Neodiprion lecontei: one gene and its partners. The protein of the gene in region 3 binds, or shares a complex with, the protein of the main gene of each other region. Links are inferred from orthologs where the notes say so. Each region holds a gene or a part of one and is shown on either strand. Other genes may lie near its edges.

Evidence for each region.
Region 1: WD repeat-containing protein 20 (region 3) and ubiquitin carboxyl-terminal hydrolase 46 share a complex: the UniProt entries of both Drosophila melanogaster proteins name them as parts of the usp12-46 deubiquitylase complex. The link is inferred for Neodiprion lecontei from reciprocal best matches to the Drosophila melanogaster genes CG6420 and Usp12-46.
Region 2: WD repeat-containing protein 20 (region 3) and WD repeat-containing protein 48 share a complex: the UniProt entries of both Drosophila melanogaster proteins name them as parts of the usp12-46 deubiquitylase complex. The link is inferred for Neodiprion lecontei from reciprocal best matches to the Drosophila melanogaster genes CG6420 and CG9062.

What each region holds. Positions count from the first base shown.
Region 1 is NC_060265.1:2,718,174-2,721,929, forward strand, and holds the start of ubiquitin carboxyl-terminal hydrolase 46, read right to left. Parts: upstream 2,856-3,756; 5' UTR 2,536-2,855; coding exon 2,533-2,535; intron 2,363-2,532; coding exon 2,207-2,362; intron 2,029-2,206; coding exon 1,812-2,028; intron 1,717-1,811; coding exon 1,636-1,716; intron 1,550-1,635; coding exon 1,257-1,549; intron 1,154-1,256; coding exon 1,016-1,153; intron 946-1,015; coding exon 802-945; intron 724-801; coding exon 616-723; 3' UTR 1-615. Other genes in the region: lipoyl synthase, mitochondrial, read left to right, coding at 3,259-3,321, 3,418-3,729. UniProt on the Drosophila melanogaster protein: Catalytic component of the Usp12-46 deubiquitylase complex.
Region 2 is NC_060264.1:15,797,102-15,800,857, forward strand, and holds the start of WD repeat-containing protein 48, read right to left. Parts: upstream 2,155-3,756; 5' UTR 2,015-2,154; coding exon 1,967-2,014; intron 1,768-1,966; coding exon 1,551-1,767; intron 1,462-1,550; coding exon 1,249-1,461; intron 1-1,248. UniProt on the Drosophila melanogaster protein: Regulatory component of the Usp12-46 deubiquitylase complex. activates deubiquitination by increasing the catalytic turnover without increasing the affinity of deubiquitinating enzymes for the substrate.
Region 3 is NC_060266.1:565,583-569,338, reverse strand, and holds the start of WD repeat-containing protein 20, read right to left. Parts: upstream 2,794-3,756; 5' UTR 2,295-2,793; coding exon 2,025-2,294; intron 1,585-2,024; coding exon 1,390-1,584; intron 772-1,389; coding exon 1-771. Other genes in the region: U3 small nucleolar RNA-associated protein 25 homolog, read left to right, coding at 3,257-3,756. UniProt on the Drosophila melanogaster protein: Regulatory component of the Usp12-46 deubiquitylase complex.

The DNA of each region.
Region 1 (3,756 bases), on a different chromosome or scaffold from region 3:
GGAATGTCTATTTTGAGATTCTCAGTATTCGACTAAAGGAAAATATGACTTGTTTGGGCATGAAAACAAAACTTGTAAAGTTAAGGTGTGTAATAAAATTATCTAAGCCTATAGCAATATTTTTTATTATCAGTCATATATTTTTACATTCGAATAATAATAATAATAATAATGTACTATAATAGTGCCTGTAACATGTTAATTTTAAATATCACTGACATAATAAGAACCAAGGTAAGAGTATTTTAAATAAAAGATTCCATTTAGCTCTTACATATTTTCAGTTTCGACTAGTTCTACGTAGTACAACATAGGTAATTAAAATAAATAAACTTTACATTAACATTTTCTGATTGCTTGTCTGCCATAGATGAATACTCATATCGATTTCACATACGTGATCATAGCTTGCATGCATCTAGTATATCTTCTTTTCGACTGTTTAAATACCAATGCGCGTAGAACACGTTCAAGAAAATAATTGAAAAATCTGATAGCATATTAAGGTAAACGACCGATTCGTCAGCATGCTATTTAAACATTCGCAAAGTCCCATGGATCATCATCATCATCACTCGTATTAAAATGTTAAATTGCTAAAGTATAAGTCAACTTCTAGCTACAGTCCCTTGATTGATAGAATAAAATGTAGCCAGTTTCGGAACTCTTTTGAATATCTGACGTCAAGCCGTAAAAATCTTCTATTGTCGCTGCATCTATTTTCTGGGACAAACAATAGGTTCATTTACTTCAACTCAATATGGCTCTAAGAGATGTTTTGTTATTATTCCTTGAACTTACATCAACCATGTCATCATCAAAAAGTAGCCAAAATCCATGACTTTTTACAATAGAAATGTAATGACCTCTATTAGGACCGCTACCACAATGTATAACAACTGCTACCAGGTCGTACAATCGATCTGGATTCACAGCATCATCACTCTGAAAATGATGATCAGACACCAACAATTGCATTGCAAGGAAGTCTTAAGTAAAAGATAAATCGACTTACAGTGTTGAAGAGTCTCAACTCTAATGGGAAGACCACTCTATGAGAAACTTTGATGTGTCTGTTGTATTGTTCTACGTATTTAAACCTTTTTAAATGCAACGCTAATATCATTGGCAGCTTCTTCACCCTCATACGTTTCTGTAAAAAAAAACAGTTTGAAAAAAGTGGTATCATTATAAAATGAGTTTATTATTCCACGTAAGTTCTTAAAGCTTACATACAGCGTAACTTTTTTTTTTACCTGAGCCTCCTGGTAGCTACTGCAATGATCACATTTGAATTTGTTGTCACTGCATAATGTTTCTGTATTAGAGAAGCATTTCAGACAATGTGTGATAGAAGTGTTCTGATCTACATCAACTTGTAGATCAAAAAAGTCTTCATCTTTACTGGAAACAGTTTCACAATTGAGACAACGAGTTTCTGAAGTCAAAATGCCCTGGAAAATTTCGTGAACCCATGTCGGCTCTGGCGGAGATCCTGCATCTCCTGCCCCACCTTTTCCGCCTGCAGGTCTGCTTTGGTTTCTTTCAGCTGTGAGTGAATGGTAAATATTGCTTATGGTTTCAATTCCTAAATTAGAACAAGTAGCTTCAATACTTCTACAGAATTAAACCCACCAAGTATGATTTCGTTAATGTGATTAATGAGAAAATTGAGAAACTCATGAGCATCTTGTTGCATATAGTTGTCGAATTCCTCTGAAACGAGGGAAAAAAAATTGGATTCAGACATGCAACCGTCTATACATTCATGACCACATCCATGAAAACTTGCCAAAAAAAAAACGACCTACCTTTTTCTTTTCTTAGTCTAGCGATAAATTTTTTTGGGGCAATGGAGCCAACTTTTTTCTTCTGTGTCGCAATACTGTAGAAAAGATCTGCCAAGCATGTTAATAAGGTTTCTTTGGTTCTTTTATTTCTTGCTTTGTATTCCAAGACTTTCTCTCTGAATGGACGACAGAAGTACAAAGCTTGTAATACAGAATTGCTGTAGCACGTGTTACCAAACTGTCCAACACAAAAAGTCCATCCTTTAGTCCATATATAGATTGTAAATGGATTGTAACAAGTAGAAAGAAAAAATTAACCATGGTGAAGTAGCTAGTATAATACAACCCGTGGAAAATAGATAAACTTAGCCAGTAGAAAAATTTCAGCAATTCCTTCTTATTGGAGATATACTCACGTTTACTAATCCAAAGTAATGCTCATTGGGAGGGAACTGATCAGAGCCGATGTCTCTTTCTAGCTGCGATATATTTGCACCCTGGAATTGGATGTGAAGATTGAAAACAAGGCGGAGACTCATTCTTAGTAACATATTTCTTCCATTGTTAACGCACTATTGTATCAAAATTCCATACAACAGTTAAGATTATTGTGTACAAATTAGCAGTATCAAATAATGGAAAGAATAGAATTAAAACTAGCTTTGGTTAGCTAAAGACAACATAAGACGAGGTTATCTTCGGCGATTTATCGTATGAACACGGTTTTCTGTGGAGAACGTACCATTTTATGATTTGATAGTATCAACTGGATGTTGACAAGAGCTAAGTACAGCTTCCACCGTTAGCTTAAGCCCCATCGTATAACAATTTGCACGTTTATATCAATTAAACGACCGACCGAACCATTGTCAATCACAACAGGAGAGTGAGTTTTAACGTAGTAAAAACTTTCATACGGTGTGATACAGGGAGGAGGATTAATGGATCAACACTTTCACCTCAATTGTTTAAATAAATTAATTACACTTTTATACTAATTTAAAAGAAAAAATTTTACTACTTCATTGCAACATGCAGGATAAAGCTCGCGTGTATGCATGCCCATACGTATCCATTAATGTGTGTATGAATTGTACGTATTATTATGTATGTATTACATGCGACTACATGTAGATTTGATTATTCCGTGTTCCTGAAACACTGGAAAAATTACTAAACAACTCGACGGATATCCGAGCAATGTTTCAGTCATCTACTTTTTAATCTACGGTGGTATTCCTATTTTATATTATCAATGTTCAAATAGCAGACACTATTACGATCAGTTACGAAAGCATCGCCGTTCAATTGCTGTCAGATAGGTATTAGGGGTTAGAGCTGCACACATAGATACATAGAATCAAGTGCGTAGTGTCATTCAAGGTTATTTATAATTTCATCGCAATACTCTCGATTAGACGATTCGCAAAAATATGTAACACAACCCGAAGACAGTCTGACAGTCAAAATGTTGAGATCAGTGCGTATTTTATACTTGGGAAATCCCGGGGCTCTCAATCTCCACACAAGCGTAAGTAGATGTTGATACTGCACCACGGCTGTGTGCTGAGTTTCCTACTTAACTGCCAGCAGTCTGTACCTAAACCTTAATTCCATAATTTTGCAGTGTGCGAAATGCAAGGAGAGCACCAAAAACGAGTTCACTGTCAAATTGGCAACCGGGCCGACGCTCCACGACTTTGTTTCAGATACTACGAGTAATTATGAAGGAAAGCTGAAACTGGAAAAAGGGGAAAAAAACCGACTCCGACTACCACCATGGTTGAAGACCGAAATACCTATGGGGGCTAATTACAGCAAGCTAAAATCTCAACTTCGTCAATTAAACCTGAGCACTGTATGCGAAGAGGCACGTTGTCCCAATATCGGAGAATGCTGGGGTGGTGGCGAACATGGAACTGCAACAGCCACTATCATGGTTCGAACTTTATATATATCAGTATCA
Region 2 (3,756 bases), on a different chromosome or scaffold from region 3:
AGAACAATACAAAGATTACACCTCCAAAAAGCTGCCCTCTCCACATGCTCCAAAAATTTTTTTTAAATCATAGATTAAGGAGCTATTTATGCGTTCTACAATGCCGCAAACCGCGATTTTTGAGCTCGTTTCTGTTACGAGAAAATCCATTTTGTAAAGTGGGGGGATCAGCTTACCGAAAAGCTAGCCCCGCCACAGAAAAAAAATTTTTTTTAATCATTTTGATCATGTAAGAATTAGGAACTAATTAGGAACTCCTGAAATACATTGGAAAAAATGTCGTAGAAACAACCCCTATGGATATATCCACGCCCAATCACGATGAGAGGAGAAAACAAAATTCAAAACGATGAGTACTGGCATGTTGTGTGAGTTGCTGTAAAAAAAAAATTCGCTGCGATGAATTTGAAGGGTAGTTTTCTGATGATCGGAAACAAATTGGAACAGGGGGTTATTAGGGGGCAGTATCTCAAAAATCAAATCATTCATGTCCGGTTAGCTCTTAGATCGCTGAACATTTTGCCATAAAAAAGAAATCGCTGCAATGAATTTTAAGGATGGTTTTTTTTTTTTTTGTTTTTTACTAAGGATTGAAAATCAGAAATTGTCACCACTGGTATTTAAAAGCTCTTAAATCAGGCAATCAGCACCTAAAAAGCACCTAATTCCTGAGTCAACCATTTTTATTCTACCGCTATTATTTAACGATTTTTTGAAGTGTAAATACATTTTTTAAGACAATGAATTCGAGTTAAAGAGCACCTAACTCTTGCGCAGTCATTTATAGACTACCATAACAATGGAAAACCATAACCAATATTGGACATTTTCAGACTATGCGCTACTAGCATGACATTGGGTCAGCAGCTCAGAGTGAAGAATCTTTCTTATCGGTAATAGAATTGAGCATCTAATTTTTGAATAGGACACCTAATTAGCACCTAAAGAGCACCTAGTTATGGTATCTGTAAGAATCGATTTTTCCAACATGGTTCTGCTGACATTACAGACGTCAGGTTTCCTGTGTATGCGTGGTTATATTAACATTACAAATTTTAACCTTATGTTCTTTTGAACTTATTTTTGATTCCAGCAAATTCGAAAATAATACTTTCAGTTCATTTTAATTTATTTGAACTTGAAGACCAATGATAAAGATTAAAAACATAATATTCCTAAAAATATTGTGGCAGCCAGATGTTGCATCAATCGCAGAACTATGAGCGAGATTCAAGTGATCATACTTACTGGTTACTGTATTGTTGCTAGCAGTGAGAGCAGTGAGAGTGTTGACATCCCATAGGAATATTGCTCTGTCCAATCCGGCACTGGCCACCTGTTCTCTGTCCTTGGCATAAGCAAGCGCTTTCACATAATCTTTATGCGTACGCAATGTAGACATACAAAAGCCTTTGTGAGCATTCCAAACTTTGACTGTTGTGTCCGAACTAGCTGATATCACTGAGAAAATTGATAAAGCAAAATGAGAGTAAAGAATTTGAAAGCATCAAAGAAGAAAGACAACGTGGCAAGAAGTCACTTTGACTTACAATTCTTTCCACCGCAACACGACACAATGTCGTTCACCCAGTCAGTATGATGTTCCATTGACTGGATGTACGGTTCTTTTATATTTTTGCAGTTCCATATTCGAATTATACTGTCTCTTCCTGCCGAATAGAGTCTGTGCGATACTGGATCATACTGCAGTGAGTTTACGCCAGCTCTATGCTTACGTTCAACTTCGTCTCTAATTACCATAGACACCTTTTACCGTTGCAGAGGAAAGGAAGATTCGATAATGAGCAATGTAACGCAATAACATCATTGCGAGGAGCAATGATGGTGTAGGACAAGAAGTTACATACAAATATATGATAAATGTAACCTGTCATGTTAACATCTCGTATGATGATTTGTTTACGTTTTCACTAAGCTTTGGTTATACGGACTGATCCGTACTCACCTGGACTTTCTTCCGGGCGCTTTGGCCGCCTGTCTTGTGTGCTGCCATTGTCCAGACTTGGCCTAAGCACTTTTTGAAGACATCGAAAACCGTAGAGGTCCGATTTTTAATAAAATAGGAAGAGAAATACCGAATTCAGCTTAGATCGCGTTTCACCACTCACGATCAGCATAAACTACGCAGTGTAAAGGCAAGGAAAAGTATGTCGTATGGATTTTCAACTAAAGAAGTGACCACCGAAAAGCGACGGGGTTCAACAAGTCACCAGAAAGGCGCTCATAAGCAATCAGAAGTGACGTCCTAGCAGTCAATTCTGGACAAATTACGAGATAGACTCAAAATTGAATCGCGAAAATGAATAGGGTTGTCTGATAATAAAAAATTTTATCAGATCATTACTATATTATTAACATTATGTAATTTAAGTAAAAATTAAAACGTAGAAATGGATTTTAGAATTGTATTTGTTGAAAAAAAATGAATAAAACAAAATAGCCGGCGGAAAGGAACGCCCTGTCATTGCGAAGGATGTGGCGTGACGTCATAATTGGATACCTACGTGAGATCAGTGTAAATTTATATGGACTAGACTTATTTTATGCTCTGTACTGTAACATCCGACCGGAACGTCCGTATGTTTTATCGATTATTGTTATTATTATTTATCATTTTTATTAACTAACCAAACTCGACGTACAACAATCTTGTAACCGTAAGGTATTAAAACAACCGTCTAACTATTTGGAATATCCCTAGATAGAAATAACTATGAAATTCACTAATCAAGGCTTAAAAACCATGTTACGAGATGTAGTTCGCACTACAAAGAGCTATAATATTATTATACGTTATTATATATCATTATCATATTAACACTATGATTAACTAACACCATTATATCCAATTATTATAAAACACTCGACAATGCCATTTGCACATTTTGAGCTGATACCTACACTATATGCAACTTACGCTATACCGTATAATCTGGAGAGTAGAAGACTGTGAAACCATAGATAAATGTATAACCGATATTATATAAAGATAGATGCACTGCTGCAATAATCCATAACACCAGAGACTGCAAAACATTCAAAACCGTGAATGCCAAATATCCGTCATGAATTATACTTTCCACCGTAACGCCGTATTGTAGGTAACGTGTGCAGCGTTTTGAAGGTAATGCTGATCTCCAATGTGGAGCCATATAGAGCCTCATCTGGAGAACATATTACGAAGCTTAACGACGAAACGATTGTAGATGAATCAACTAATGGGATTATCTTGTAAAGCGAAACAACCAAACAAAATTACAATTAACGTATCAATACAATAACAATCAACCCTTTTAGGTAAACAAGGCTTGTACCAGTTTTGAGGTAAAACGTAAGAAAACATATCCCTAGCTCCTTACAGGTATTGTACGACACCAAGGAATTAACTCAAAGATGTATACGTGGCAACGCCTAGTAACAGACAACCAACAAACATAAGAACAATGCTCTAATACTTTTCAAGCCGATCTATATCAATATAAGAATTAACAATTACAGAAGAGGATTATACAAAAGCACATATGTAAACCAGCTCCAAAACTACGAATTATCAAATTGTTAAATACCCTAAATCTCTTAAGATTGTTATAACACGAACACCTAAGAATATTCGCAGCAGCGCAATCCTAGTATTAGATTTAATATTAAATAAATAGCAACTATGTCCCACTATTGTACTCCAGGTGAATAATGATAGTAATTAATTATAACACATATGCAATTCTACATATTTAC
Region 3 (3,756 bases):
CGGCCGAAGAACGTCTTCGGTTATATCCCATAGACAGAGTTGAGTGTCCTGGGAGACACTTCCCAGCCTGTAGCAGGTTCCTCCGGACACCCTTAGCTCCGACCCGCACGAATTTCTATTGGAATGAATACCTTGGGAGACTGTCGACAATCTGTTGGGCTTCTCATGAAAGTGATTATTGTGATTAGTGTGAGGCATGGATTCGTCGTCGGAACCACTGAAATCTGGATCGTGATCCCCGTAGGACGTTGTGTAGGGATCGAACGCGACCACACTGACCCAACTGTGATGACCCTGGCCCCTGGCCACGACTCTTTTCTCATTGAAGCTCCATATCGTCACCAGATCATCTTCTCCTCCTACTACGACGTATCGTCCATCCGGTGACCAACAGACGCACAAGAATCCTCCAAAGTAGCTCCTCGCCGATCCCACTAGTTCCATCGTATCGTAGTGAAAAACTCGTAGGAAGCCATCCTGGGATACCACAGCCAAATTAGAGCCACAGGGACTGAATGCAAATTCATTTATACAGCATCCCTCAGCGCCGATCACCCATCGGTACAGGGGGTTTCTTGTGGACTTTGTTTTGCATGTGTGAATCGCATAGCCATCCCCTGATTTGAACGGCTGATAATGAGGCGGTGTCGTTCCACAAAGCAGCTCTTCGTTGTACAGGTACAGTTGGCCAGAGCTATGCGAAACCAGGAATAGATTGCTCGATCCCGGAACCCATTTGATGCAGGTCACTTTACTCTTGTCGATTAGCCTCTGAAATTACAAACATCAGTTGCTGATTATTCTTTGTCGCGTTTATCTTTCAACTAATGTCAACATCTTCCCAGTAAATTAAATAACTCGAGTCCTTGCCATATCTATTCGTCAAAGGGTTTTACAACTGGTAGAGAATAACAACATAGCTAATAAATACGAATAGATTACAGCTTTAATATACGCAGAGATCTTAGTATCTTGGCGCATTGTCAGTGATCGGAGAGATAAGCGGAGTATTGCATAACACAGTATGTAATGCCTGTTTAATTATTTCATCAAGTTATAGTTGCGTTACAACAGTACTGCCAACCTTGAATGATGTAGGGTTACGCGGAGCCATCTGTGGCAGATAATAAAGCAAAAAAAACTCTCACTTGTCGCGACAGATAGCATATTACGTGTCTGTTGCTAATTGCCTGGTTATCACGTGCCGGCAAAATAACGGTGCTGTATCTCAGTCATTCAGCAATCAGCAATAAGCCTGACAAAGAGCCCTTAGCTAGCCTTTACTCGTAGAATGTGCCTAGCTTTGGCTGCCCAGTTATTGAAATGAATATTGCTCATCAGGATAGGATGGATTTTTGCTTTTGATTTGAATTGATCTGTTATGCATACCTCTTCATTGTAAAGTTTGCTAAGCTCCTTTTTAATTGGATCTATGAGCTGAATCTGTCCTGTGGAAAATCCGACGAGCAGTGGCGCGCTGTCTGCAGTGGCTGTAGTTTGGTTGAAGTTATGGCAGGTTGGATTTGTTCCTTTGTAGAGCTTTTTGTCAACAGGTTTGTTGAGATCCACAGCCTGAAACAGTTGCTATTATACTTTGAGATAGATTTTGAATGAGAATTATTCAGAAAACGGTTCCTAAGCTCTTATAAAATGAATTTGTATTTCAGAACCAAGCAATCGTAGCTGTGTGCCAAGATTAGGAAACCTGACAAAAGTTTGCATGTTTCTATTAGTGTTATCATTGATCAATTTTTTCACCAGCATAACACAGGCCAACAAAGCATAGGATGAACTAAAAGTGAACGTAAATGTAAATGTAACATAGATAAAGTCGAAGTGAAGTAGAAATGCGAAGAATATGACGAGGTTGGAGAGTTGTGGTGGTGGTGGTTGCGAAGATGGAGTCGGAACGACGAGGCGGAGGGGGGAGGGGGGCTGTTTGAGGTTATGTATCGTTAAGTTAGCGCCGAAAGAGTCGCAGGGATAATAGGGCAGGTTTAACGAGGTGGCAGAAGAGGAGGTACCTTCTTGACGCCACGGTAAACGTATACGTATAATTCTTTGCCAAAGTTGAAGCACATGCGGTCGCCGAGGCCCTGGGCTCCCGTGGGATCGGCTGGATCGGGCAATGTGACGAAGGACACCCTGACCGAGGCGCTGCCCTGGCTGTTGGTGTAGCCCACCCTGTTAGGTCGGGAGTACTCCGAGAGGGTCATCAGTTTGTACGTTCCTTCTCGCGTGACAAATTGTGTTTTCAAGTCGTCCTTCCCCCCTCCATCGAGCTGCACCGCCATCTTACCACTAGAGAAACGACGGTGGAGTTCATGAGAATCGAGGAAATGGGTGTTTCCTTTCCTATTTTAGTTAACCGTCGATTGATCCGCGATTATACCAATCCCGGCTCTTCGATCGAACGACGACGAGAGTGTGGTTACTGTTTTCTTAACAACACCACCACCACCACCATCACCATCACCACCACCACCATGCAATATCGCGGAATCGCCGAGTCCCGAGTACAAGATCCGAACCCGCAGCGAAATTGTCTGCGAGCTGATCGTCGCGGCTCGCTCCAGTGTTGTTGGTGCGCGCGCACACCCCAGCCGACCGACACTCTGCCAACACCGGGCAATCCTACATAATATCGCTCTGCAACCGGATATTTTCTCAACAGATGGTTGAATTACTAATTGATTTAATCGCTCCTTCCTTCTTCCTGTCACACATGTTGACGACCGTTTAACCGTCCCTCGTCGCGTCAACGAGCAGCCGCTGTCGCTCGAACGATACTGATCGTACCACTCGCCCGTTTCGTAATGACCGACCACCTCCTTCTGGCCGCATCCTAGTCGACAGGAATATCGCAGCTGCTCGGAAAAAACTGTTTCGTCCGATTCATCAATCGACAAGACCAGCTCCGTCAATAACTTTTACAAGGATCATTCTCCGTGAAATTCTCGAATCTTTCCTCGCTTCGCGGAGATCGCTGTGCATTCGAGGAGATGCCGCAACGTATACGCTGTGTCAATTTCGTTTTCAAATAAGGCGACGCTCCCCGCTCTTTGTCGTCTGCTATGTTTGGTATCCATTGGTGCCAACCTTCTCCGCCGCCTCGTTCGCAGTGCTGCTGTCTCAACGGAACCTAACCTGAAAACCATGTGCTTGCCAATGCAAGCGTTCAGTTTTTGGTTGTCGATAGGCCGTGTTCATTTGAATTGAATTATTGCTGGCGATATTGAAAGTGGGACGGTTGACAATGGTTCGTGGGAAAAAACCGACTCGCGGAGGGAATCGACGAAAATTTGATAAACGTTTCGAGCATAAGCCTAAGGTGAAAAAATGTAAATTCAATATCAGGGAAGCCTCGTATGTCAAGGAACGTGATGCCAAGAACGAAGAGATTGAAAATAGGAGGCGAAAATTAGAGGCGGAGAGGAGCAAACAGTTGGAACTTGAGGCTGAGAGTTCGGAAGAGGAACGAGAGGATCCGTTAAAAATGTTGCTTTCAGCTATCGGTGGTGCTGAAACTAAGAGGCAACCTGTCATTGACTCCGATTGTGAGTCAGAGTCTGAATCCGAGCCTGACGACGAAGCCGAGGTGAAATCTTCCGTCGAAGAAGAAAATCTTTTCAAGACGAAAAACTCGGGCGTAGATCACGTCACTTCCGAGGCTAGCGACGCTGAACATGTCGAGATAAATTTGAGGGAGGAAGAGGAAGAGGATCAAGAGACTGCGCGCGAAGATGCTGGGAAGCT